Linked DNA regions of Rattus norvegicus. The protein of the gene in region 7 interacts with the protein of the main gene of each other region in a biochemical or structural test. Links are inferred from orthologs where the notes say so. Each region holds a gene or a part of one and is shown on either strand. Other genes may lie near its edges.

Region 1 (3,500 bases), about 150 Mb from region 7:
CATCTGTCTTCACACTGGCAGGAGCCTGTTCTATGGGGCCTTCACAGGGGCCTGGGCACCCTTGGGAGCCTGGGCTGGAGCTTTGGCCTCTGCCTTGGTTTGAACCTTGGGCTTTGGTTGGCAGAGCCTACGACCCTTGGCCATGTAGCTTCGTTCGAATCTTCTTCCCAAGCTTGAGGTGAGCGATGAAAGCCAGACGGCTGAGTTTGCGGCTGGAGCCCTTTGGCATCTTGGGCTTGACAGCCTGAGGCTTCACGAGGGCCTTGATGGCCTCTGCTCGTGCACTCACGGCCTTGGCATTGTTGGCCTGCATCTTCTTCAGACCTTTCTTGTTGTGCTTCTTGGCAAAGCGCATGTTCCTCAGAAACTTGGGGTCGACCCCCTTAAGAGATTGGTATCTTTGTGACCGGGGTTTCTTGATGCCATTTCTGTGCCATTTGCAGGACTGGTTGTGTGTGGTGTGGTTCTTGGACTTGGCCATGTCTGCACAGTAAGCCCCGGCTCCCCCTGGTACCTTTTAAGGTCACCTTTTTGATAATTAAATCTCACGTGTGCTTACTCAACCCCACCTCCCTCCAGCGGCCAGGAGGAAAGCCAGCACATAGTAGGTGCTTGGCAAGCTGTGTTGAGTTAGGATTGGAGGATTGAAGGGAAAAAATGATAGCTCCAGTTTCCAGTTTTGGTGCCAGGACAGACGGGGAGACACAGGAAAAAACTAGTAGTTTGGTATGAAGTTCGCTTAGGAGGCATGCAGCTGGGGCGTTCTACATAATTCTGAAGTTTCAAACTAAAAGAAGACGCCATTAACTGCAATGAGTCTGGAGTCTTAGGCTACCCTGTGATGCCCTGCCCACAGTGCTTCCCTCTCTGCCTAGGTAGATACTTAGGTGAGCAGCTCGAATGGCACTCTCAGGCTCTTGTGCCCCAGAGCAGGGCTCCTCTACTCAGCAACCCCAGGAGTCAAGACCAACCAACAAGGCCGGGTGTGGTGGCGCACGCCTTTAGTCACAGCACTTTGGAGGCAAAGGCAGGTGAATCTCAGTGAGTTTGAAGTCAGCCTGGTCTAGTCTCCATAGTTCCAGGACAGCCAGGAGTGAGACTGTCTCAAAAAACAAAGCAGGGAAGAAAATTGAGCCGACAGACCCTTCTCCAAAAGTCACGCATCTTTTTAAGTGGTTGGGAGATGAGGTCTTAGACAAATATGACCCCACTACTCTCCTGAAGAGCCCATGGGAGAACCGCAGCCCAGCTAACAAGAGTAAACCCACCGTCCATATTGCTTTCCCAGACGATCGCCACCGGATTGAAGAAAAACGCAAAAGGACCTACGAGACCTTCAAGAGCATCATGAAGAAGAGTCCTTTCAATGGTGAGATGGGGAGAGCCTGAGGGAGAAAAGTGGGCAGGTGGGCCAAGCTCCAGAATCAGTGAGAGGAGACCTAGGATCTGAAAGCTGACCTAGCTTTTGCCCTGTAGGACCAACTGAACCCCGGCCTCCACCCCGACGTATTGCTGTGCCTTCCCGAGGCCCAACTTCTGTCCCCAAGCCAGGTAAGGAAGTCCTTTTGTCCTTCTAGAATGAGGGTCTCGTTTATTCAGACTGAAGTATCTTCTAGAAGGGAACAGAACAGACACTAGTCTCACCTGCAGAGTTCTGAAACCTGCTCTCTATGGGGCCTGTGCTTCTCGGGGTGAGGCCTGGGTCTCTGCCAGGACCATCCAGGGAGCGGTGCAGATGTGGACTCTTGGGCTCTGTCACAGACTGATAAACTCAAGGCTTTGAAAGTGGGGCACAAGAACTAGCCATTTCCTGAGGGTGCTATTGGCTCCAGTTAAACCCTGAGCCCTTTATTCCCTGCTACTCAGGAGAGTGTGGCAAGAGGGTCACGGGTTCAAGGCCATCCTGGACTACAAGGTTATTAAATTTAAGGTCAGTCTGAAGAACCCTGTCTCAAGTTTAAAAGTAAAAGCAGGATAAGAACAGCTCAGAGGTAGAGGCCTTGCCTGGCACAGAGGCCCCAGATTCAATACTTGGTACCAAGGGATTAAATAATCCCTGCAGATACAGACATCGGAAATGTCTCTGCCCTCAGCTCTCTATTGAATTTAGAAAGAAGAAATCACCTCTAAAGTAATAAGTTGTGGGGCTGGAGAGATGGCTCAATTAAGGGCGCTTGGTTTCTGTTCTCAGCACCTGCTTGCCGGCCCCAGCTGCAGCGCTAGGGGAGCCAGTGCCTCCTTTGGTCTCTGAGGGCACTGCATGCAGTGCATACAGAAAAGCAGGAAGGCACACACAGACAAAGACTTTTTAACAAGTCATGGGCTGTGAGTGCTGGCAAGTGGCTCAGAAAAGTAGCACATGCCCATCACCAAGCCCACGTTCCATGCTTTACCCTCAGCTGGCCTTGCCGCTGTAATACGAGAACATTAAAAGGTCAGGAGTGAGAGCTTTAGACCGCTGGTAGTTAGGGAACACCTCAGTGTGTCCCCTACAGGCCTGGTCAGTTTGGTTCCCTAGAGAGGGAGGGATTGTAAGCACCAGAGAGCCGGGCTAGGTGGAGGCAGAGGGGCTGTGCAAGTCTCTCTCTCTCCCTCGCTGTTTCTGATCCTTGTTCCTTGCTTTTTCTCCAGCACCCCAGCCCTATGCCTTTTCAACATCCCTCAGCACCATCAACTTTGATGAGTTTTCCCCCATGGTGTTACCACCTGGGCAGATCTCAAACCAGGCCTTGGCCCTGGCACCATCCTCTGCCCCAGTCCTGGCCCAGACCATGGTCCCCTCCTCAGCCATGGTACCAAGTCTGGCTCAGCCCCCAGCTCCTGTCCCAGTTCTAGCCCCAGGTCCTCCCCAATCCCTGTCTGCACCTGTTCCAAAGAGCACCCAGGCAGGGGAAGGCACCCTGTCTGAAGCCCTGCTACACCTGCAGTTCGATGCTGATGAAGACTTGGGGGCCTTGCTTGGCAACAACACAGACCCAGGAGTGTTCACAGACCTGGCATCTGTCGACAACTCAGAGTTTCAGCAGCTTCTGAACCAGGGTGTGGCCATGTCCCACTCCACAGCTGAGCCCATGCTGATGGAGTACCCTGAAGCTATAACTCGCCTGGTGACAGGATCCCAGAGGCCCCCTGATCCAGCTCCTGCAACCCTGGGGACCTCAGGGCTTCCCAATGGCCTCTCAGGGGATGAAGACTTCTCCTCCATTGCGGACATGGACTTCTCAGCTCTTCTGAGTCAGATCAGCTCCTAAGGCACTGATGGTGACCCTGCTCAGAGTGGGGCACTGAAGCCTTCCTGAAGCATGTACAGATTCTGGGGAGTGTGCACCAACTGCCCCCAACTTCTTTGGGTGATATCTCCTGGGGGTGGCACATTTTATTCTTTTATCAGCAATATCTCACTCTCTTTTTGGAGGTGCTTAAGCAGAAGCATTAACTTCCCTGAAGTGGAGCTAGGAGGACTCGGGCTCTTCCCCTGTACGATAGTCGGCTCTTCTTTT
Region 2 (3,973 bases), on a different chromosome or scaffold from region 7:
CATAAAGTATAGCCTGCAAAAGGACTGAGGCTTGAGTTCAAGCCCTAGGACCCACACAGCATAAAGTGAGAACCGACTCCTGCAAACTCTTCTCTGATCTCAACTCTGCATCCCTCACACACCTGTGGCCCAACAGATGTCATTTTAATAATAAGGTGTAGAGTGACTATGGAAGACAGCTGATGTCCACTCTAGCCTTGACATGCACAGCATGCCCACATGCACATATGCACACACACACGACTCTGGTCATGAGGAATGTGGGACTTACAACAGTAAAACAGACTGGTCCATGAGATCACGGAGACCACCCGAGGAAGGCTCAGGAGCAACCCAGACAATATGGAAATAGTAACATTTTAACATGACACCCAGAATACTGGGTAGTTTAAAACTTTGGCCTTTAACACTTTTTTCCTCTTAGTATTATCTAGAGAATCCTGTTATGTAGCTCAGGCTGTTCAAACTTATGATCCTCCTGCTTCCACCTCCCTGGTGCTGGGATGCTAGTATCCCTGGCTGTACCCATCTTGTGGTATGGTTTTATCCTTTCGAGACAGGGTCTCACTGTATAGGCAGTCTGCTCTGAAGCCCACTGTGCAGACCAGGCTGGCCTCAAAGTCAGAGATCCACTGACTCTGCTGCCAAGAACTGGCATTAAAGGTATGTGTCACTATGGCCTGCTGGCTTTATCTTAAAAACAAACACTCCAAACTTATAAAATGCATTTGTTTTTGTACATGACATGGCCTGCTTGTCATCTTGTTACCCGTTACTTTACTTTATAGTATACATATAGACATGGTCTATATATATATATATATATCCGGGGCTTCACTCAAGCTCACTATGTAGCCAAGGATGGTCTTCAATTTGAGATCCTATCCCCTTTCCCATGCTGGATAACAGGCGTGTGCCAGCCAACATGCCCATTATACATGGCGCTGGTGGTCCCCCTGGCCTCCTATATGCCAGATGAGTGCTCCATCAATTGAACCGTACCCTCAGGCTAGCTTCTTCTCTTTGAGATAGGATTTATTTAGTATAGGCTGGTCTAAAACACTCAGTCTTTCTACCTCAGCCACCAAATAGCTGGAATCACAGGTCTGCTGGGGCTACAGGTGTGGGCACTACTGTTTCAGTAAAGTCACCAGCCCAGGGTTAGGTCTCTGCCCCAGACACCCAGAGGCATACACTTACCTGGTTCCAGGTAGCAAAGTTGACTTTATCAGCTGCATTAAAAGCCATTATGTTGTATCTTTTGGCTGTGTTCCTGGAATGGGCAAGAAACTATTCAATCCATCGATTAGCCATTCAACAAATCTACGATTTACACCCTTGGTTGTAGGTAATTCTGGGAACTCAAAAAAGACTCGGGAACAATGGTCCTCAACCTTCCTAAAGCTATGACCCCTAATACCCCTATGACCCCCTCATGCTGTAGTGACCCAACCATAAAATTATTTTTGTTAGTTCATAACTGTAAGCTTGCTACTATCATGATTCATAATGTAAATATCTGTGTTTTCTGATGGACTTAGGCGACCCACAGGTTGAAAACCACTGCTCCAGTTTCTCAGGGATTTTTTAATTTTGTTTTTGTTTTGTTTTTTTTAAAGACTCCATCTCATCCAACCCCATATAAAGATCCATAGGCACCAGGCACTCTCACAACACACATCTATATACACACAGGCATACACAGAGATAACACTAAATCCTTAAGAAAAAAATGAACCGGGGGCTGGAGAGATGGCTCAGTGGTTAAGAGCACTGACTGCTCTTCCAGAGGTCCTGAGTTCAAATCCCAGCAACCACATGGTAGCTCACAACCATCTGTAATGAGATCTGATGCCCTCTTCTGGTGTGTCTGAACAGCTACAGTGTACTTATATATAATAAATAAATAAATCTTTAAAAAAAAAAAAGAAAAAAGAAAAAAATGAACCAAAGGTGTAGAGAACCTTTATGTAGAGAGGAAGGCAGGCAGGCAAGGGCTGGAGGTGAATGGGTCTTAGTGGGTTTCAAAGTCAGCCTGGTCAAACCGGCTAGACTACACAGTAAAACTGTGTCTTCAAAATAAACAAAAAAATAAAAGGGGACTAGGTGTAGATCAGTGGTACAGTGCTTGCCTACCACAGGCCCACCTAAGATAAAATTAGAAGTTGAGGGCCATGGCACTTGGCACAGAAAGCAGGATGTGTACTACTTGTGACCAGTTTGGAATTTTGTTTTATTTTGAGACAGGCTCTCACGATATGTAGCCCTGGCTGGTCTGGAACTCCCTCTATAGACCTGGCTGACCGCGAACTCAAAGAAATTCTCTTGTTTCTGCCTCCCAAGTGCTGAGATTAAAGGCAGCCACCATGTCTGGCCTGACCAGTCTGAAACAGGACAGAGTCACAGACCCTAACATTAACTACCAAGATTTACCAAGACATATTACTATGTCTTGGACGCGGCAGTAGGGCCAGCGTGGCAGGGGAACACAGGGCCGAGGTTCTAAAGTGTGGATGGACGGGGACTTACTTGGGGACTCGGACGACGTACTCAGTGACATTCTGGCTGCTGGAGCCCTGCAAAAGAACAGGAGTCTGTAAGGCGAGAAGAGGGCGCGGGGTCTGTTTTGCGACACCTCCATCCCCACCTCATTCATACTTACTAGAGCCGCCATGGCCGTTGCTCAAGCTGCTCCGGGTCGGCCAGACCTGGATGGTCTTGGTTGTGTCCCTCGGACCCAGGGAAAGCACCTTTCCTGGTTGTCACGTTAGTGTGATCCTGTGCTTTGGATTTCCAAACCCTTAAGTCTCCTAGAATGCTGGAAGACGAGAAAAAAAAGAGACTTAGAACGCTGCGCATGCGCCACAGCCTGACCCGGAAGTAGAACTGCCACACGGAGACGAGAGCTACCACTGTACCTAGTCTGTGTCTTCTCCAGCTTCTGAGCGAAATAAAGCTGCTTTCTCCCAGTGTTCTCTTTTACATCACGGATAACTTATAATCACGTGAGAATACGTCACTTCGTGACGTCAAGACGCGGGCAACGTGGAGCATCTTGGGTAGGGTGGGAATGGAGTCTTCTGGTGTTCGCGTCCTCGGTACTCTCGCGCAAGCGTAAATGTCCAAGAAGCGGGAGCGGAGGCCGCGTTGCCATGGCAACCGAGGCTCGCTCTGTGGAATGGCCTCCGGGGCTCTTCTGGGGTGGGTCTGAGATTCCGTTTTCTTTTGTGTCCTGGAGTCAGGGGATCCCGAGGATCTTGCAAAATGAGTCCCTTGTGACGTAAAGCGGAGCCGAGGAGTCGTTGCAGGGCAGAGACCCGGCCCCGGCGTACCCCAGCATTGCGGGCGGGATGGGTCTGTGCGAGTCCACGCTGCCCCAGCTGGGCAGAGCTTTACGGCCCCAGGAGAAGGGTAACAACATGGGGTAGTTGGTCTACATGAGGCAACGGAAGGGGGCGGTGGGCAGGTATCCCACCACCTGATTGTGCACACCAACCCTTGCACGACAGGAACGCATCTGCACATGCTCCCACCCCACCATTGGTTGATGCCTTTGGAATATAACTTGAGTAGAGGAGCCAGTGTCAGAGATGGAAAGTACAATTCTCGGGGGAGGAATCAGAAAAAGGGAGCCTGTGGGACTCATAGGAGTTGGGACCCTCAGAGGGTCAAGGGTGGTACAGACATTGAACCTGAGAAGGATGAGATATGGTGATTCCATGTTAGTCTTTACAGAACCATAAACAACTGACTCCACTGATGTATCTAGTAGCGGAGACATTCATTTCTTCACTTTCGGGGAGCGCACCGTGAGTTACAAAGGCTGGTTAGGAAGACTAAAGGGAGTCAAAAAGGACAAAGAACAAAGAACCATGACTGTGAAGGAGAGGAAAGGGTTGTGTGACTAGAGGCACAAGCAGGCAGGATAGAAAGGACCGCATGGTGGGTGGAGCAGGGTGCTATTGGGTGGGTT
Region 3 (4,256 bases), on a different chromosome or scaffold from region 7:
TTATGTGACATGTGAAACACACCACAGGAACGGAAATGCAGAAGGGAAAAGTCAACCCAAAGTCAAATTTTTGGAAATATCAACAAAACTGGTGAAGCAGCCAGAAAGGCAAAAACACAAGACACCAACATCCAAAGAGAAAAGGGACTTCACACAGTCCCTTGCAGACATATAGAACATAGGGGTAAAGCTCAGCTGCAGACAATTTGCTTAACACATGAGTCCCACAACTAGATGACCCATTCCAAGAATAAGTCAGAAACTATCTGAAATGTAACTACAGCCATTACTATGACAGAGGCTGGAAAAGAAAACCTAAGTCCAGCTGGCTGCATTAGAGACGTCTACCTAATATTTAAGGAAGAAGTGGCAGGCACACACCTACACTCCTGCTGGGAAGAAGACTGAAGTCAGAGCATCATGTGTTTAAGGCCAGGTTGGTTACACAGTGAAACTAGGAAAGAGAAAAAGAGCAGCGTGCATTGTTTGTACATAGTCCCTTCCAGAAAGTCAGGGAGCTGGGGAGGGCAGGGGACGTGGCTCACTTGTTTCAGGAGTGCGATACCTCCACATCCAAGGCTGACAGATGTTGGGTTACAGACCAACACCCCATGTAACAGAGATGAAAACCCACCAGCATTTCCGAAGGACAATACCCCAGATGAGCTTACTTCTGGAACCCACAGCAGATTCAAGAACCTGCCACATGGGCTGGGAAGGTGGACGGTCCCCTGGGTTAAATGTTTGCTGTGGAGGCATGACTAAAGTTCAGATTCCCAGAACCCACAGAAAAGCATGTCAGGTGTGTTAGCCACATAACCACAGCAATTGGGAGGCTGAGAGTGGGAATCCCTTGGGCAAACTGGCTAGCTAGAGTGGCCAGGAATCAGGAGCTCCAAGTTCAGCAAGAGACCCTGACTTGGTGAAGTGTAGATTATCGACTACATCAACCCCTGATGCCAACTACTTTGGGTCTCCTTACCCATGTGCCCACACATACATACATGTATGCCTACACACATGTGCATCCATGTACACACACACACACACACACACACACACACACACACACTCAGCCACACAGGGCATGGTGGTGCATGCTTGTAATCCCAGCACTTAGGAGACAGAGGCAGGGGAAACTGCTAAAAGTTCAAGGCCGGCCAGTTTACACAGGGACACCTTATCTCAAAAAAAAAAACAAAAAAAAAACAAAAAAAAACATTGTCTCAAAAGCAAGCAAGCAAGCAAACAAACAAACAAACAAAAGTTGGGTTTGGTAGTACAGGCTCATAATGGAACTACTTAGGAGGCCGAGGCAGAAGGACTTCAAGTTCAATGCTTACCTGGGTTACTAAGTTCAAAGTCAGCCTGGACAACTTGTCAAAAACCCTAACTCAAATTAAAATGTAAAAAGCCAGGCATTTAGCTCACTGGCAGAGAGAGCACTTGCTCAGTGTGAGGAAAACCTGCTCCAGAGCCACACACACAATACAAATATGCAAATGCAGTTACTCTACAACCCAAGGGAAAGAGATTACAGACAATTCTAAAAAGGAAGGCAAAGGCTGGTTGGCTCACAAGTCTCATCTCGAAACATTAAATGTAAACAAAAGGTAAGGATGAATGCAAGACAGAACCAGGGAGCAGACTCGCAAAGGGGGCGGGGCACACAAGGATCTCTGCTGAGGAACAATGGTAACTCCACGCCAAAAAAAAAAAAAAAAAAGAAAGAAAGAAAGAAAAGAAAGAAAAAAGAATCCTTTCAGCAAATTGTGTGGGGAAAATGGTACCTCCACGGGCAAGAAAGGAGCCTAAATCTGCACATCGCACTTCCCACAGGCTTAACTCAAAATACGGAAGGACTAGGCTTCCAACGGCATACGGATTTGGGAACTCTTTAGTGTGCCAGAGTCCCCTGGGTTAGATCTCCATTACTCAGAAAATAAAAACAAAACTACATAAAAGGGTAAACGTTAACTTTTAGAAGACAAATGTGGTAATTCAAACGAAGACATTTTACATTACTGACAAAAGAAACAGGCGCCAAACTGGAGAATGCTTCAAAATGTAAAACCTTCGCTCAAATGAGTAACTTTTGTTTCGTGAATCATATATACAAAGAAAGACTTGGAAGTATAACTCACTAAAGACTCGACACTCAACCGTTAGGAAACAAACCCTTCTTCTAGCCCTTAGGGCAAATGACACCTGTCAGAGTGACCAACCGGATAAACGGAACCTGCATCAGGCGCGAGCTTGAAAGCTGTGCCTGCCAGATTTCAGGCCAGCCGGACGAACCTCCGTTGGACCAGACCGCGACGCTTGGACCCGGCGGATCGCGAAGCTCATGTCAGCGTACAGGACACGGAGGGGACCTGGCTGCAAATTCGCGGCCGGGCCCTGCCTCAGTTTCCCTGTCCGACTACCCACGGTCCGTCGCAGGGCGATCTGCTTCCGTTTCCCCGCTAGCTTCGACTTCCTACCCATCTTGCACACTCAGACCTGCCCGTCCCCCTCCCCCGAGCTGCAGAACACACCGTCCAGCGACACGAACTGGCCGACTGCCGACGAGCCGCCGCCGCTGTTCTCCACGAACTGCACCTCGGACACGATGATGTTGTCCTCGAGCACCGAACCGCAGCCCGTGCACACCGCGTCGCCGCGCGCCGCATCCAACTCGATGTCCGTGCCGCCGCAACCGCGGCAGACGCGGCCCGTCATGTTGGAGCCGCGGGGCCCCACCGGCCCCCTGCCGCTCACCAACCCGCTCTCCGCCCGCGGCCCTCAGCCCGCAAGGCCCGTCGCACCGCCTCCGTCTGTGCCGCACTCTCGCGAGGCCGCCGGCGCCACGCCCGCCGATTCGTAGCGGCAGATTCGCCACGCGCGTGCGGGCCGCGCCGCCTCCAACGGCCGCGCCCGCGGGACCAATAAAGGAACTCCAGAATCACTGGGACGCTGGGACCGAACCGCCGACCTTCCGGGCGGCCGGAAGCGAAGCTCCAAACCAGGAGCCCGTAGGCCTCGCGGGCCACAAGCCAAGGAACGGGGCGGGGCTTGCGGGCGGGCGAGAAGGGCGGGGCGAGGCAAGGAGCGCTGCCCGGGACCGGACCAGAGCCGTGGGAGGAGCCTGGGAAGAGACCGGGGCCGTGGGAGGAGCCTGGGGAGGGGCAGGGCTTGGCCGATGGGCGGAGCCGGGGAAGAGTCCCAAGAGGTATGGGAGGAGCCTGGAGGCGGGGCCGAGGCGGAGAAACAAGCCGTGCGCAGAGCATAAGGAGAGCCGATTGTCTGTGAGAGGAATCTGGAAACAAAAGTAGTGGGATGTGCTTGTGGGCGGTAACTTGAGTGCGACCAAGGCCGGGCCCAGGGTTACCGTGAAGCCTGCATTGATTGGCACAATAGGCTTTGGTAGAGGCCTCGAGGCTGGACGTAGTGGGAGGAACCTGGGGAGAAAGCACGCCTGGGGTAGGATCAAGGACTGCCCGCCTGGCCGAGGTTTGAGAGGGACCTGGGATATTCTTCCAGATTCCGCTGCAGCCCTCCGCGTGCCCTCCGCCCAGGATGAACACTTGGTCCCCCTCAACGCTGGATTCTCAGCAGGACTCCCTATTTCATGGTGGAGAGCTCTGGGTAAAGTGGAGCATACACAGAACCCCCTGCATCTGCAGGCGCGGCTCTCATTCTTAGCCATACCCGTCAGTCCTTGCGAAGTTTAGCAAATCTTGCGTACTACTGCAGGTAAGAAACTCCAAAATTAGACTGCAGGATGCCACAGGAGCTCAAACTGAATTAGAAAGCATCCTTTCTCGAGTAAGAGGAAGCATTGTAAATACGCATAATTCTGATCAGCTTGCAAAACCAGTGTAATTCCAAGTGAAATATCAACATGCTTAAAAAAAAAAACAAAACAAACTTGGAAAAAGCCAATTGTGTTGGTGCACAGCTTTCGTCCCAACGCTCAAGAGGCAGGAGCAGGTGGATCTCTGTGAGTTTGAGGCCAGCCTAACCTACAAAGGGCAGCCAGGGCTCTGTAAACACAGGGATAACCCTATCACAAACAAACAAACACAGAACTTGGAAGAGATCTCCTCAAAACATAGAAAAGGAAGGGTTAGCGAGATTGCTTGGCAAGTAAATGCCCATGCCAGACAAATCTGACTGTCTTGAGCTCGATCCCAAGAACTCAGGCAAAGGTGGACTGAGAGAATTTACTCTCAAATTACAAAGTTATCCTTTACCTTTCAACATCACACACACAA
Region 4 (4,289 bases), about 180 Mb from region 7:
AAAACGCTGAGTTCTTACCTTAGATAACAAATTATTTAATTCATGAGGATGAAGTTTCACCACTTCTCCAAGTTGCTGTGCAGCGGCTTTTCTTGTAACTGGGGTAGTACCCGTATCCAGTAAGATAAAAAGACGATCGAGTCTATAATAGCAAAAATACAACAGTTAATCTGAATGTGTTTCCTCATAAGCGTGAGGCAGAAAATGTATTCAACCTGTAAACAAAGCTCTATGCTGGGAGCCGGGTGTAGCAGCATGTTGTGCCCGTTATCCCACACCTAAGAAGCAGAAAGATCAAGAGTTAAAGACCAGGGTTGGGGATTTGGCTCAGTGGTAGAGCGCTTGCCTAGGAAGCGCAAGGCCCTGGGTTCGGTCCCCAGCTCCGAAAAAAAGAAATTAAAAAAAAAAAAAAAAAAAAAAGAGTTAAAGACCAACCAAATCAAGGTCAACTTGGGCAATGTAAAACTGTGCCTCAAAAAGATTAAAAACAAAACAAACAAACAAACAAACAAAAACGTAAAAGCTGTGTCTATAAGAGATGCCTATCTTGGGGTTGGGGATTTAGCTCAGTGGTAGAGCGCTTGCCTAGCAAGAGCAAGGCCCTGGGTTCGTTCCCCGGCTCCTAAAAAAAGAAAAAAGAAAAAGAAAAAGAAAAAAAAAAAAAAAGAAAGAAAGAAAGAAAAAAAGAGATGCCTATCTTGGTGCTGGAGAGATGACTCAATGGATAGAAGCACCGACTGCTCTTCCAGAGGTCCTGAGTTCAATTCCCAGCAACCACATGGTGGCTTACAACCATCTGTAATGAGATCTGATGTCCTCTTCCAGTGTGTCTGAAGACAGCTACAGTGTACTTATATTCAATAAATAAATAAAATCTTTTTTTTTTTTCAGAGCTGGGGACCGAACCCAGGGCTTTACGCTTGCTACAAGCGCTCTACCACTGAGCTAAATCCCCAACTCCAAAGAAAATCTTTAATAAATAAATAAATAAATAAGTGAAATTTTAAAAGAGCTAGCAATAACAAAAAAATTGTAACTTGCAAAATGAATAACATGGCTTGGTTTTAAGTCAGAGTTAACTCAGAAAACAGTAGGAGGGCCAAGCACAACTCCAGCACTTGGGAAAGAGGCAGAGGTAGGCTATGAGGGAAGTTATAAATCCTCAACACATAGAAATGTGCATTGTGTGATTGGTACCATAAGGGCTAATACTATTAGACATTATGTGGACTTTCTAACCAAGATGGAGATGATGGAGAGACTGACTTGGTCCCACATTCTCTGAATGGAAAAGGATACCTATTAGGCATCATACTCATCTGTAAGGTGAGTGCAGAGCAGAACTGAAAACCGAAAGGTTTCATATACATGAAACCTTCCCAACTAGCCAGCATATAAAGACCTTGTTTAACTAAATAAATAATAAACTAACAAAAGAAAGAAGAGGAAAAGAAATACAACTACAAAAATAATGTGAAATCCTTGACTGTATAGTTCAACAAAAAAGTCTTGGGTCAAAAAAATGATGGGACTAGTAAGACATGGGGGTGCACAATTATTTGAATACTCAGAGGGCTGAAAGAAGATACTGTGAGTTCAAAGCCAGCCTGGGTTACATAAAAAGAAAGGACAAGGCAAACAGAATAGAGCAGAGCATCAAGTGTGACTGGGGTTATGGATTAGGAAGACTAATCTGGCAGTAGTGGAAAGTCTTGTAGAAAATTAGACCACAATTCATACAAAAACCCAAAGAAGCTAGTAGTCAGAAGCAAAACATACATCTAAACAAAACACGCACAGTGTGGTAATTAAGCAAAAGATCATGGGTATTGAAAGAACTGTAAGATTTCTAATCTCAGAAATGAAAATATCAAGGATTACTTTTTGGCACATGCTTATAATCCCAGTACTCTGGAAAACAGGGCAGGATGATCAATTTGAGAATGCGACCAACCTGGGAGCTACAACCAAGTTCAAGACCAGCTTGGGCTACATATTGGGACTTTGACACAACTTCCCATCCCATCCCATGCCACTCCTAAAAAGAAAAAAGATAATCATTGAAAGAAATCAAAAGGGGTAGTTGAAGGAAAACAGAAAAGATGGCAAGCTCACCAGTGGCAGAGAAAGTGTAAGACAGCACAAAATGATAGTTGGAATAGAGTTAATGTTTACAAGAGCTGGAAGGTAAGGTCATCTGCAGAGGTGATAAATATGACTACTAATATATTCCTGAACTTGCAACATATGAGAGAATGACACAAATCCAAACCCTAGCTCTGCTACTTCTAAGCAAGGTATGCAATGAAAATCACAACAGACTATGCTTAGAGTAAGGACGGTGGACAAAGTCACAACTCCACCCACCTATCTACGCACCACACAGGGCTAGCCTTGCCACACTAACCCACTGAAGTAACGTGAGTGCCATGCCTATAGAAGAAGGCTTCTTGTTTGGGATATACGGACACTTTAAACAAAATCGAGGCAAACGATGAGCAAGGTTATAAGAATGCCCATCTAACATGAGGGGAGAGCTAGTGAATAGTTTTACATTTTATCTATGAGAAGAGAGAACAAACAAGGTCCCAAAGTAAGGCATAAGCTTTAAGCATTAATAAACTAAAAGGTTTATAATATTTCTGGGATTTTTTTTATCTAACAAGAACTAAAAAGCTACAAAGTTCTGAAAGGAAAAAAAGAAAAGGGAGAAGAAATAAAAAAAAAGTTTTAGAGGACAAAAGAAATAAATGAATGCCTCTCACATTAAGAGGAAAACAGGACAGGCCTGGTAGCCCATGCCTTTAATACCAACACTCACAAGGCTGGTGGATCTAAGTTCCACCATAGGAACTACTGGGCTACATAGTGAGGCAGAGGCAAGCAGCACAAACATGGTCTTTTTAAAAAATGAGTCACATTAAGCACAAAAATCACTAGAATTGGTTAGAAAAATAACTAAAATGTATCTTTTTTTTTCTTTTTTCTTTTTTTCCGGAGCTGGGGACTGAACCCAGGGCCTTGCGCTCGCTAGGCAAGCGCTCTACCGCTGAGCTAAATCCCCAACCCCTAAAATGTATCTTTTTCTCTCCATATTAATGGTATTGAAATGTTCAACTGTTTCAGAACAAGATGCCAACACATGATTTACATTTTATAGTTAAGGGTATGGTAAGAAAGATATAACTCAAGAAAATTCCTTCAGGCAATTAAAGCTAAAGACTTTCAAAATTTTTCAAAATTAAGATTTTCAAAAAATCCAATACAGTAAGCTTCTAAAGGAAATGGAAAAATTAACTTACACAGATACTGAGCATGTAGACTGTTTTCTCCTTGTTCATTCACAGCTATCTAAACACTTGCTTTTACCTGTATGTGGAAGATAAAATAATCCTCCACGGGCTCGTGTGTTGGACTACCAGCATATGGTGCTATTTGGAATGGTAGGAGAAGCCTCAGAGGTGGGCCGAGCTGAAGGAAGCACATCACTGGAATATGTCTTCAAAGGCTCTCTCTCTCCTGTCCCTTCTCTGCCTGGGGTGAGCAGTTCTACACTACCATGCCTTATATTCAAGTTATTCTGCCTTCCCACAGGTCCACACAATGGAACCAGACAACCGTGAACTGTAACCTCTGAAACAGTAATCTCAAGTAGCTTCCTCTTCCTGTCTCTCAGATAGATACCTGGCATAATGACAAATACTGACTAGCACACCATTCATTCTGTTTTTCGCTAAAGGATTGGTAGAAAGATTAGGCTTCCGAAACAAAAGAAAGGAAAGTTGTTTATGACCACTGATATTCTTTAAAAGCTCTAAGGTAAGATCAGACTTAACATCTGTGTACTATCAACAGCTTCCCTTCATTCGTTTTATGTGATTCTCAGGTTCGAGCCCTTCTGACTTATTTTCCTGAGACTGGTATGTCAAGAGTTCATGAACATCAGCTGTGAGTCTTCAAAACAATCCTTGGAAATGGCAACAAACATCTGCACGTTGGAAATAGCAACAAACATCTGCACGTTGCTAGTCAGAACACCTCAAGCTCAATGGCAAAAAAAAAAAAAAAAACCTTTTAATTTTTTCAGGAAATTATTTTAGGAGACCAGTAGGATGGATTACTTAAACAGGTAAGTGCTTGCCAATAAGCCCAACAACTTGAGCTCAATCCCCAGAAGCCACATAGTTAAAGAAAAGAATAGTATCCCACAAATTGTCTCCTGACCTCCACATATATACTGTGGCATGTCCTGTCCCCCAAAATAAATGCTTTTAAAAAGAAATTTTAAG
Region 5 (3,500 bases), on a different chromosome or scaffold from region 7:
CCCATAATCCCAGGGTGATTAGACCAGATTAATCCATTTCTCATAATCCCATCTGCCGGGAACTAGAGAAGACCAGTGCTGCAGTCTTGAGTGACTTAGAGAAGTTAGGATAGATGACCCTCCCACTTCTGTGTGCTCCTGAACCACACAGGGGAACTGCATTATAGCGATACCTGTAACAAGAACTCTCCTTCTTGCAAGTCCTGCCAGTCTCTGACTTGTGCTCTACACTGGTCCTGGCCTCTACTTCTGTCAGCCGGGGTGGATTTTAATGCAACTACAGGGGGAAAGAAAAAGGAAGAAGTAATTACACAAAGGCACATCTTCAAACAAGCAATATTCAAAGACTACAGTAGAAACCATCAAAGTGGATGATTCGAAACACCATGTGTGCAGCGGGTTCGGCGAGAGGCAACACGACTGGACACAGTGATCATGGCTACCATTTACTTCGGCATTTTAGCCTGCACTAACTAATCTCACTTGCAAATGCATGGCTAACATATCTGACCCGGTTAGATACAAATCTTAGTTCTGCCATTTATTACGCATATCAGCTCCTTGAGCCTGTTTACTAGTAGGTGAAAGGACAACCAAAGCAAACAAACTAAACCAGACTCTCCTATGAAGCTGTTATGAGGGGCAGTGAAAATGTTCATGCCGTTCCTGACACAGCAGACCAGCAGGTCAATAAACAGTTGCTCTAATTAGAGTATTTACGGGAGTGTAAGGATTGCCTTATTAGAAAGAGTAATCTCCTAAGTGCTTCGCATTCTTATCTTCCCTGATCCCTTTCTACCCGGTGATATTTAAAGAGTGAGTCTGCAGTCCTCAAGAAGTATTTTATTAGATTTCTCAGTTCCCCCGGCTCAGGGGAAGCTTTCTTAGCGAGCCAAGGGTCATGTGAGCCATTCTCGTGTTTGCATTTTCCGGTAAATCATCAGTGTATGTGTCACACCGGGACCTTGAGCCAAGCTCTCGCTTACCTTTGCAGAAGCTGAAAGATATCTCTGTGAGAAAAGAGGCCAGAGTTTGGCCTCTGTGCGTAAAGTTTTCAAAAGGCCAGAGAACAGATTTCCTCAGGCCAAAAAATAGTGTGAGGTAAACTGGTCTCCTGCTAATCAAGACTAAAAGGAAATACTTAAATGCTTCTCACTGAAATGCAGAACAGAGAATGGCCCTTTCTTCCTTTCGGTACAGTATTAGCTGTTGCCGCTGCTTATTTTGACTGGGGAACCTTGCTGTAAAGCACTGGCCGCTCATGATGCCAAAGATAAAGACTCTACTCCATGTCACCAAGCAAAGAAGTTGGGAGCTTTACCAAGTCAGACCCACTGCTGAAAAGATGGGATGAAAGCCAAACTCAAACTGGACATTCTTATAAAAGGAGCAGGACCAGTCTCAAACTCCACCAATACAGTGTCCAACAGAAGACCCCGATTATCAACTGAAGTCTCTTCACATTAATTTTTGAGTAACAGATTTCACGTCACTACCAGTAAGAGAAAACAACAGCTCAGCAGCCAGATACATTGTTCACCACCAGACTGTCCTTCATCACCAGACAGGAAATAAGACAACTTGTGTCAAGTTTGCTACTGGGCTTCTGTGAAGATTAGTAACCAATGCAAATTGGATTTAGCCAGTCTTTGAGGATGATTTACAAGCTATAGAAATAAAAAAACTAGAAAAGAATGTCATAAAGGAGTCAAGAATCAGAACAGGTTTACGGAACATTACAGAAAGTGTGGAGATGGTTTATAAAAGCAGGGTCTTCACACGGAATAGCTTTAAATGTCAGAAGCACAATACTTGATATGCACAATAAATGGATTTCTGGAAATGGTCACTGGATGGGTTGTACTCCAAGCAGGCCAGACAATATCTCTGTTGTTTAGTCCATAGGAAAGGACTGAAGTAAATACTGCACAAACATGTGTCCAGAAGTAGCCAGTGCTCTCCCTTCCCAGGGTCTCCCCACAAAACACGTCTGTGCTGTCTTAGAAAGCTTACATTATGACCACACTTTTCAAGCCACACTGGATTATTTTAACCTTTTTGTTTTTCCTTGAAGTTTTAATATCATAACTATTACTTCTTAAATTCCAAGACTCTGGATTAATACTCTTTCTCCTCGAGTGTGCTGCTCAACTTGTTAAGTAACCCATGGAATAAGGCAACTGCTTCCTACCTATAGAATTACTCTATGCACCCGGCAATAATATATTTTCTTGGGGCTACGATCTATGTCCCATTTAATTTCCAAAACTACCTTATGTCACTGGTATTGTTTGTTTGATATAGTATGAAACTAAGACATAGAAGATGAAGAAACTCCCTCGGAGTTGCCAAGCTTTAAGAGGTAAAGCCTGCATGGAAATCCGGGCAGCCTGAGCCTCTTCCCGGTGTGCAGGGATGACCCACCCACCCCACAGTTCTCACACTGAGCTCACTGTTTTCACCTCTAGTTTTCCTGCCTTTACATAAGAGCAATGCTGTCACCTGAGATGAATCCTGGCGAGCATAAAATAACATCCAGCTTACACATGAACAGTAAAGGGCATGCATGATAAACTCTGCCCTGTTACACACCCTGGAAGCACTACAAAAAGACTGCACCGAGTGCTAACCATTTCCTCATCTTTAAATGGAACGCATGGATGGCCATCTGACAGAATTACTGTGATAACCAGATGGTGACTACGATATCTCTACCACTAGGAAGCACTACACACATCATGTATATAATCCAATCTCTATGATACTTGAAACTTAGCAGCCATGGAAGATGTGACAGTCTGTAGAAATGAAATGTAGGATCTGAAAATGTCATTGATTCTGCCACCTGTCAGGCATCTGTTAAATTTTAATAGACATCTGGGCTATATACCCCCTTCTGAAGTAACAGGAATGTTAAAGTAGCCAAAGATGAGGACAGTAAAATGCCATAGTATGAAGGATGACTTCCTCTAGAGCATCTGAAGCAATTCCATAGTAGAGAGAACTGACTGTACTCTGTGTGCAAAGGCATGTTACTATCAAGTAGCCATAACCCAGCACCCACGGCTCCGGTCTGGACTCAACTGACATTTACGGAACCTACATTTTCTAACATGAGACTTCCCTCTCTTGTATATTATTTTGAATTGTTGAAGAAATAAAATTCAAGAGGACAATATACAGGATTCTGCTAAACTATCTGTTCTTCGTTTTTCTAAGTTTACTTTTAAGTTGAAATGTGGCATGGCACAGTTTGAGGGGGAAAACTATTGTTTTACTTATGCTTAATCACTACTATTAATTTAATATATTTTATCTTTTTTATTATTATGACTAGGAAAGTTAAATTCCATTCCAACACTGATGTATGCATAAGAGAAAATGACTGAGATGATTCAACAAAGCACATACACAAACACACATGCATACACACATACACACGCACACACACACCTGCATACACACACATACACACACACATACACACTAAAATGGTTAAG
Region 6 (3,944 bases), about 150 Mb from region 7:
TTGGCACACAGGTTGCCCAGGCTGTTCAGATACAGTTGGCAGACTGCTTGGCTCCAAAGATGCTTCGCAGACCCTCTGCTATCTCAGGTACCCGTCTCTTCACTGTGCCGAGCCCGTCACTGCACTGGCTGCAGAACACTATACTTTTCTTTTTTTTTTTTTAAAAAGATTTATTCATGTATTATATATAAGTACACTGTAGCTGTCTTCAGACACACCAGAAGAGGGCATCGGATCCCATTACAGATGGCTGCGAGCCACCATGTGGTTGCTGGGATTTGAACTCAGGACCTCTGGAAGAGCAGTCAGTGCTCTTAACCGCTGAGCCATCTCTCCAGCCCAACACTATACTTTTCAAGGCCCCGTCTCAGTACTGATTCCATCTGTCCCTTCTCAGCAGTCCAGAGAGGGGAAGAAGGTGCCCAAGGTCCCACACAATGAGAGGTCACCCCTTAGCATGTGGCAACTCAGTCCCTAGACCACATTCCTTTCTTCAGTGCCCCAGACTCCTGTCAGACTCCCTGTTTTAACTCAATCACTGGCTGCCCCAACAATGTTCCTTCCTGCTGCCCCCATGTGGGGAGGTGGGGGGATGGGCAATACAGCCACGAAGCCCTGGACACAGGATGAAAAGAAACCAAAATCCTTTTTTTTTTTTAATAAATTTAAGAACAGTTCCATCTTTCTCTTCTCCCCAAAGCAACTAATACTAACTAAAAGAGCATATGGCCAGGGTTAAAGGGCGCTAGGAGTCATAATCCTCTTCGTCCTCTGCCTCAGGTGCTGAGGGGCCGGGAGGTGCTGGGGGTAAAGGCAGAGGAGAGGTGAAGGGCATGAAGGGAGTTGGAGGGCTGCAGGACAGAAAATGGAGAAAATCAGAGCTTGGAACTGTGCTGTGCCCAACCCACAGGCCCACCCCCATTCTCCAGAGACAGAAGCAGGTGTAGTCAAAGCCACCCATTACATCATGGAGACAACCCCCCTAGGAGGGAAGGTCCCAGCAAAGACCATTCTCCAGACTCTCTCCCCGACCCACTACCATGGAGGCAAGGCCTTCTCAGAACAATCTCTTGTGTTTAATAGTGTTCTCTCCCCTCCATTCCCTAAAGTCAGCCGCCGCCACCGCCGCCACCACCACCACCACCACCACCACCAATGGCTAGGGAAGTAAAACTAACTGGCTCTGGGGAGTTTGTTGTGCCTCTTTCTGGTATCCCTGGGGTGCTCACCTCTGAAAGTGGGCAGGGGGGTGACTGGCTTGGGGTGGGGCCTGTGGTGTCTCTTCTTCCCCATCTGTATCTGTGTCCTCAGACTCATCCTGTGAGCACAGCAAGGGTCAGGTTAATGAGAAGGTCTGGGCCCTTCTCTGGGGAGCCCAGAACCCTGGTAAGGCAATGGAGTTAGATACAAAGGCTGTAACAAGGATGAGACCAGGCCTTCCCCACCGGCCTCACTCACCTCCTGTTCTGAGTCTGTCCCGGACAGCTTTTTGTCTTTGCTTTTGCTTCCTGTGCCTCCATTCTTCCTGCCACTGCTGCCTGGTTTCCGGCCCCTTCGGGAAGGTACAGGCCATCTGCACAGAGGACTCTCTCCCCTTCTTCACCCCCCAGCCACCCCCAACCCTTGTGGCCTTGGCCTTTCCCACTTATATACCTGGTTTTGGTTACCCACCTTCGAGGACCCTTGTCCCCATCCGTGTGGTTGTCTTCCCCATCACCCTGCATGTCAGGCACAGATGCCACCAAGTCTTTCAAGAAGTCAAATTGCTGTTCAAGCTCAATGCACTGCTTCCTGTAGAAGTGGGAGAGGAAGGTGTTCAAAAAGGGCCCCCAAAACACTGATGTTCCGGAATCATAGAAACAACCTTTTCGTGTCAGTACAGTGGAACACCCCTCCCCACTTCCACCAGGCCTCCCGGGCGGGCGGCTTGGCTCTGGTTGTTCCCTCCACCTGAAACACCTTATCTCTCCTACATCAGTCCAAACCCACAAAGCTGGCCTCCCTCAGCAGCGCACCACTCCCCCTGTCAGAACACTGCCTCCTCAAAAGCCCAGCTTAGCGGCCACTCACAGGTGGGACGTGGTCATGGTTTTGGCATTTCGAGACTGGGTCACCTGGCAAGCCTTCTTCAACAGAGACTCCAGGAAGAGCTCAAGTGCCCGGGCTGAGGACGTCAAGGAGAATCCAAAAAGGGGAGTGCCGCAGTCCCGCCCCACGCCCCTCAGCCCAGCCAGCCCCTAGTAGGATACAGATGATGACAGGCACAGCTGCCGCCACCTTCCCAATCTCTTCGTCTGTCTGCATGATCTTCTTGATCCGCGCCTGCCGAGGGGAAGGGGACAGAGCTCGTCTCCTGCGTCTCTACAGGGGAGCTGAGTGAACCGGGGGGTATCCCAGGAGAAGAGGGCGGGGGGCACTAAGCCAGGAGGGCATGGAAGGGGCGGGGCGTCAGGCCATGAACACCTAAAAGCACCCGTCCCCCCACCAGCAGGACCTGGGCCCAAGCCTCCCAGGAACCTAGCCTGCAGAGGCCCATCCCGGCCACGTGCTCACCGGCGGAAACCGCGCGTTATACTTCTTCTTCTTGCTTGGCATCTCGGGGCCTCTCACGCTGCGCCGGGCCCAGCGCCGCCGCCCGCAGCCTCCAGGCCCCGGGCCTGTTCGCCGCCAGCCGGCCGCGGTTCCCCCCGGTCCTGGTGCCGCCTACTCCGCCCACACCACTTCTCGCAGGGTCCTAGTGCCGTTCGTAGAAAAGCAGCTCCCAAAACCCAAGCGCTGGGCTTTGGATCCTCTAGGGCGGTGCGCGTCCTTCTCAGGGATCGCCCGCCACGCCCACCCGCCCTCCAAGCTAAAGTACGAACGTTAGCTCCGCCTCCTGAAGACCTGCACCTCCCGGGATTCTCGCGCTGGCTCCGCCCCTGAACTCAGCCCGCCCCTTCCCCTGGAGCCCCCGCCCCTAGCCTTCTGGTTCCGCCTCTGGCCCCGCCCCGTGACTGTGTTTGTCTATAAAGTTGTTGTTGAGGTGGCGGGACCCTAAGATGGCGGCGGCGGCGGCGGCCGTGGCAGGGGCGGGGCGCGGCGGGGGTGGCGGCGCAGACCCCGGGCAGGAACGGAGCCGGGCCCGAAGTTGGGTTGGCGCGGAGCGGAGTGAAGGCCGGAGGTGACTGTGGGGCGACGAGAGGGCAGCCCGGGGGTGGAGGCAACCCTTACCTGTGAACACTAATGGCGGCGGGTGTGGTAAGGCTGGAGCCTGGTCCTCGCGCAGACTCTGTCCTATCAGGTTCGAGTCCGGATGTTGCCCATTGACCCCCAGATGGGCCGCTGTCCTCTCTGGGTCTCAGAGTCTTGGTGTTGATAAGTGTGCCCCAAATAGTTCACCATGGGAGGCCTGGCCCCTCTCCAGCCAGCCTCTGAGATTGGCGAACCTGCGTTTTGCCTACGTCCATTAAATTGCAGCGCCGCGCTACCTGCGAGACTCTAGTCCTGTGGTGTAGCAGAGTCCTGTGCCAGTTAACACTTAAGCTTTAACGGTCTTTACAGACATGACCTTGGGCAAGCCCCTTTTCTCAGAGTTTCAATTTCCTTGTTTTTAAGCAGTGAAAGTAGTACTGACAATAGCGACTCCACCTCAGGCATTTTATTCTAGAGACAAATCTAGACAGGATCAGTTGTTATCCCATTGTGAAGATGAAGCAACTGAGGCACAGACATTAAGACTTGCCCAAGGCCACAGTTAAAAGCAGTGCCTGGCACCCTCTAGGACCCAGTACTTTTTATTTACTGTCTCAAACTTCTGACTCAGTTCCCTCACAACAGGATGGAACCAAATGAAGAGCTGGAAGAGGAGGACTCTCCAGGTGGTCGTGAGGATGGCTTCACTGCTGAGCACCTGGCTGCAGAGGCCATGGCAGCTGACATGGACCCCTGGCTGGTATTTGATGCCC
Region 7 (3,500 bases):
CTAGGAAATACTTTTCTTTTCATCTTGAGACCCGTTTCTCGGTGTAGCCCTGGCTATCCTGGAGCTTGCTCTGTAGACTAGGTTGTCTTGGAAAACACAAAGGTCTGCCTACCCCTGCTTCCTCAGTGCTGGGACTAAAGGTGTGGGCTTCCACCACCTGGCCTAGAACTTTTAATAAAAACTTATTAGTGCAAATCTGCAACCCAGCATGTGGGAGGCTTAGGTAGGAGAATTATCAAGAATTCAAAAAATTAAGAATTGTATTGTATAAACAGCACCATGCTAGCCAGGTTTGTCAAATCAGATAGTCTCAAAAATAGCCCCCAAAATTGAATTTAAAAATTAAATTTTATTAGACTAGTTTTCTCTAAACATAATCATAAAGCCAGGTAGCCAGTTTTTGCTTTTCTAATATCTATTTCCCCCTAACCAAGGTAACACTAAGAAAAAAATTCTTGTTTTACTTAAAAACGAGTTTGACTCAGCATGCCCATACCTGAACTGAATTTTCAGGTTCACTTTGGTGTACCTGTCACAAATTTAGTCAGTCAAATGATAAATGTATTCCTATTTTAGAAAGTTAAATATTGTGAGGGGGCAACATTTGGAATGTAGGTAATAAAATAATAAATTTAAAAAAGAAAGTTAAATATTTACCTGAATTCTTTATAAGTCTACTGAACTGACACCTAATAAGAAATACTATTAGATAATGGAAACAGTAATGTGGGTAAATTGCGTGCTCTGTGGATATTGAAACAAGTTATGTCCTAAGCTCATAAGTGATTTGATTGATTGATTGATTGATTTTCCGGAGCTGGGGACTGAACCCAGGGCCTTGCACTTGCTAGGCAAGTGCTCTACCACTGAGCTAAATCCCCAACCCCTCATAAGTGATTTTAATCAGAAGTATAAACCTGGATGCCTGTGGACGTCAAGCAGGCACGGAGAAATAGTTTAGAGCAGTTCAGACAAAAGGAGTGCTTACAGAACTTATCCCTTTAAACTCAAAAGTAATTTAAAATTGTACACAGGCAAGGTATAGTCAGGTTATGCCACTTAGTTTAAAAAAGGGATTGGGGCTGGGGATTTAGCTCAGTGGTAGAGCGCTTACCTAGGAAGCGCAAGGCCCTGGGTTCGGTCCCCAGCTCCGAAAAAAAAAAAAAAAAAAAAAAAAGAACCAAAAAAAAAAAAAAGAAAAAAAAAAAGGAGCTGGCATGGCTTACAAATGACACTATCTATGCAGAAAACTAAGTGGAAATGGGAAACAGAGTTGAAAGTAGGAAGGAAGAGTTATTAAACACAAAAACCGATAGTGTTGTCTGTGAAGAACCGTTTAATCAGCCACTAAGCTGTCTTAAAATAAAGCTATATATATATATTCTTGTTACTAAGTGGTGTTTGGAAAGTCTGGGCTGTTTCAGAAAGAAAAAAGCCCGAACCTTCCACCTTTTTTACATGTGAGAAATACTTCTCTGAGGCAAAAAATTCCTCAAGACAACTGCTATCCTCACTCTAAGAGTGACTAAGATCTCCAAAGATATAAATACAGCCCTCACAGCCAAAACTGAAGAAAAACCTGGACCCCTAAGACCTGTGCTGACACTATGGCAGAGGCTGTGATACAACTGGCCTGTGACTCTGCCACTTAGCTATAAAGAATTGTCCACAGCATCAGTGAAGGTCAGTTTGCATTCCAGTGGCCAAAATACATAAACACAAGCAACTCCATTTCTAAGGGAAAGTCTCTGCTGAGAGCACTGACCCACTATGTAGCTTTAATTCCTTGTCAAGAACAAATGAAGTCACAGTATAACCGAATTACCACTGGGTCACTTCCTTAAGTAAATCCACTGTCAGAAAGCAAATAGTGTAATAGCACCGAGTACCTCTTCTGGTGCAGAGACATAGGGCAGGGGACACAGGACAGGAAACACAAACAGAAAAACCTCGCTCACTCACTCACTCACTCACTCACTCACTCACTCACTCACTCACTGTTACACACAGGGGGTTGGGGGCGGTGTGTACACAAGTGAGAGGTACTCACTGGAGCTGTGGTACAATCCCAGAGCTCTCAGAGGCTGGTGTGGCAGGAGTGATAGGGGTCATAGGAGTCATTGGTGAAGGATACAAGGGGGTGGTGCCTGGCAATGGTGCTGTGGTTAGAGTTTGAGAATGGAAGAGTTGTGGGGTCTGGCCTGAGGCACCCTGTGTGGGCTGCTGAGATGTTGATTGCTGTACTGAGGCTGCTGCAGTTGCTACTGCCTGCTGTTGCTGCTGCTGTTGCTGCTGCTGCTGCTGCTGCTGCTGTCTTTGTTGCTCTTCCAAAATAGATAAACTATTGGTGTTCTGAACAGGCTGTGGAGTAAGCCCTGTGCCGTAAGGCATCATTGGACTGAAGATGGGAATTCCAGGAGTCATGGCACCCTGTAGAAAGCAAAGAGAGCAATGACTAAGAGACTGATGGTGGCTCATTTAGCTTTTCCTTAGTAGATAAGTATTTCAGTATATGTCATTCAGTAGTAGAGAAGAATCTGTGTCCTGAGATGCACCACTATCTTCTGTAGTACTGAACACAGTAGACGAGCACTTGGGATTTGAAATCTGGCTGTTACTTATGATATGATATAAGAAAGATGCTTAGCCTCTCAAGCATATCTAGACCATAAAGAAAAAGCATATGTCCCTATTTAAAGTACCACTCAGTATCCAGGCATCTTAGCTCTGGAGGCAGAGGCAGGTGGATCTCTGTGAGTTCGAAGCTAACCTGGTTTATAACACAAGTTTCAGAGCTGCTATGACACAGAGAAACCCTGTCTCAAAACACCAACACCTCCCCTCCAAAGTACTATTCAGTATATGCAGATTATCCACTAACAAAGACTGTGTCAATTCTGGATGATGGATCACATGGTCACCTAGAGGTTCGAGATGACAGGCTCATGGACGCCTCTATCATACTACTCTAAAAAGCAATTTACTCTACTAAAAACAAAAGTCAACAAAGTCTGTAATATACTGTCAACTGCCTTTTCTATAATGCTTCTATGTTTTACAAATATAGATTTAATTCTAATTGAAAATTTTATTTATAAAAATAAGGTAGATTTAATTAATTATGTGGAGGTAGAAGAACAACAGAGATGGTAAAGTTTATACTGAATTGGTAATAATCTAGGTGTAATTCTATTGCAAACACACACACATGCACACGTTTAACATCAAAACTAATGTTTAATTCAAAGCAGATTTGGTAGTAATCTTGTAATAGGAACGTGACTGCAATAGGAGCAAGAAGGAACCTTCTGGAGTAAATAAAAGTTTTACAGCTCATATAGTTGGAACAGTCTTCTAAATAAATTAGGTTCCAAATAAATTTCCCAAACAAAAGAGCATCATATCTACCTAAATCAGAAATTTTCACAAAGTAAAACAAGACTTACAAACCCATGTTCAATACTGCATGGTTACATGTCACTTTCTCTTGCTTTCTCTTA

Evidence for each region.
Region 1: the proteins of Tbp (region 7) and Rela form a complex in vitro, tested with the Homo sapiens proteins (2 studies listed by BioGRID). The link is inferred for Rattus norvegicus from reciprocal best matches to the Homo sapiens genes TBP and RELA.
Region 2: the proteins of Tbp (region 7) and Gtf2f1 form a complex in vitro, tested with the Homo sapiens proteins (3 studies listed by BioGRID, with this or other methods). The link is inferred for Rattus norvegicus from reciprocal best matches to the Homo sapiens genes TBP and GTF2F1.
Region 3: the proteins of Tbp (region 7) and Brf1 form a complex in vitro, tested with the Homo sapiens proteins (2 studies listed by BioGRID). The link is inferred for Rattus norvegicus from reciprocal best matches to the Homo sapiens genes TBP and BRF1.
Region 4: the proteins of Tbp (region 7) and Btaf1 form a complex in vitro, tested with the Homo sapiens proteins (2 studies listed by BioGRID). The link is inferred for Rattus norvegicus from reciprocal best matches to the Homo sapiens genes TBP and BTAF1.
Region 5: the proteins of Tbp (region 7) and Ahr form a complex in vitro, tested with the Homo sapiens proteins (2 studies listed by BioGRID). The link is inferred for Rattus norvegicus from reciprocal best matches to the Homo sapiens genes TBP and AHR.
Region 6: the proteins of Tbp (region 7) and Drap1 are reported together in a solved structure, tested with the Homo sapiens proteins (2 studies listed by BioGRID, with this or other methods). The link is inferred for Rattus norvegicus from reciprocal best matches to the Homo sapiens genes TBP and DRAP1.

What each region holds. Positions count from the first base shown.
Region 1 is NC_086019.1:212,360,836-212,364,335, forward strand, and holds part of Rela (transcription factor p65), read left to right. Parts: intron 1-1,288; coding exon 1,289-1,369; intron 1,370-1,476; coding exon 1,477-1,551; intron 1,552-2,631; coding exon 2,632-3,251; 3' UTR 3,252-3,500. UniProt on the Homo sapiens protein: NF-kappa-B is a pleiotropic transcription factor present in almost all cell types and is the endpoint of a series of signal transduction events that are initiated by a vast array of stimuli related to many biological processes such as inflammation, immunity, differentiation, cell growth, tumorigenesis and apoptosis.
Region 2 is NC_086027.1:1,937,398-1,941,370, forward strand, and holds the start of Gtf2f1 (general transcription factor IIF subunit 1), read right to left. Parts: upstream 2,801-3,973; 5' UTR 2,675-2,800; coding exon 2,663-2,674; intron 2,577-2,662; coding exon 2,530-2,576; intron 1,274-2,529; coding exon 1,201-1,273; intron 1-1,200. UniProt on the Homo sapiens protein: TFIIF is a general transcription initiation factor that binds to RNA polymerase II and helps to recruit it to the initiation complex in collaboration with TFIIB. It promotes transcription elongation.
Region 3 is NC_086024.1:137,899,587-137,903,842, forward strand, and holds the start of Brf1 (transcription factor IIIB 90 kDa subunit), read right to left. Parts: upstream 2,801-4,256; 5' UTR 2,722-2,800; coding exon 2,538-2,721; intron 1-2,537.
Region 4 is NC_086019.1:244,079,504-244,083,792, reverse strand, and holds the start of Btaf1 (TATA-binding protein-associated factor 172 precursor), read right to left. Parts: upstream 2,801-4,289; coding exon 2,766-2,800; intron 143-2,765; coding exon 19-142; intron 1-18. UniProt on the Homo sapiens protein: Regulates transcription in association with TATA binding protein (TBP). Removes TBP from the TATA box in an ATP-dependent manner.
Region 5 is NC_086024.1:57,978,402-57,981,901, forward strand, and holds part of Ahr (aryl hydrocarbon receptor), read right to left. Parts: intron 278-3,500; coding exon 174-277; intron 1-173. UniProt on the Homo sapiens protein: Ligand-activated transcription factor that enables cells to adapt to changing conditions by sensing compounds from the environment, diet, microbiome and cellular metabolism, and which plays important roles in development, immunity and cancer.
Region 6 is NC_086019.1:212,160,963-212,164,906, forward strand, and holds Drap1 (dr1-associated corepressor), read right to left. Parts: upstream 2,801-3,944; 5' UTR 2,596-2,800; coding exon 2,554-2,595; intron 2,323-2,553; coding exon 2,250-2,322; intron 2,165-2,249; coding exon 2,071-2,164; intron 1,792-2,070; coding exon 1,672-1,791; intron 1,574-1,671; coding exon of another isoform or gene 1,553-1,573; coding exon 1,459-1,552; intron 1,319-1,458; coding exon 1,230-1,318; intron 852-1,229; coding exon 746-851; 3' UTR 150-745; downstream 1-149. Other genes in the region: Bles03 (UPF0696 protein C11orf68 homolog), read left to right, coding at 3,039-3,160, 3,817-3,944. UniProt on the Homo sapiens protein: The association of the DR1/DRAP1 heterodimer with TBP results in a functional repression of both activated and basal transcription of class II genes.
Region 7 is NC_086019.1:65,139,708-65,143,207, reverse strand, and holds part of Tbp (TATA-box-binding protein), read right to left. Parts: intron 2,431-3,500; coding exon 2,051-2,430; intron 1-2,050. UniProt on the Homo sapiens protein: The TFIID basal transcription factor complex plays a major role in the initiation of RNA polymerase II (Pol II)-dependent transcription.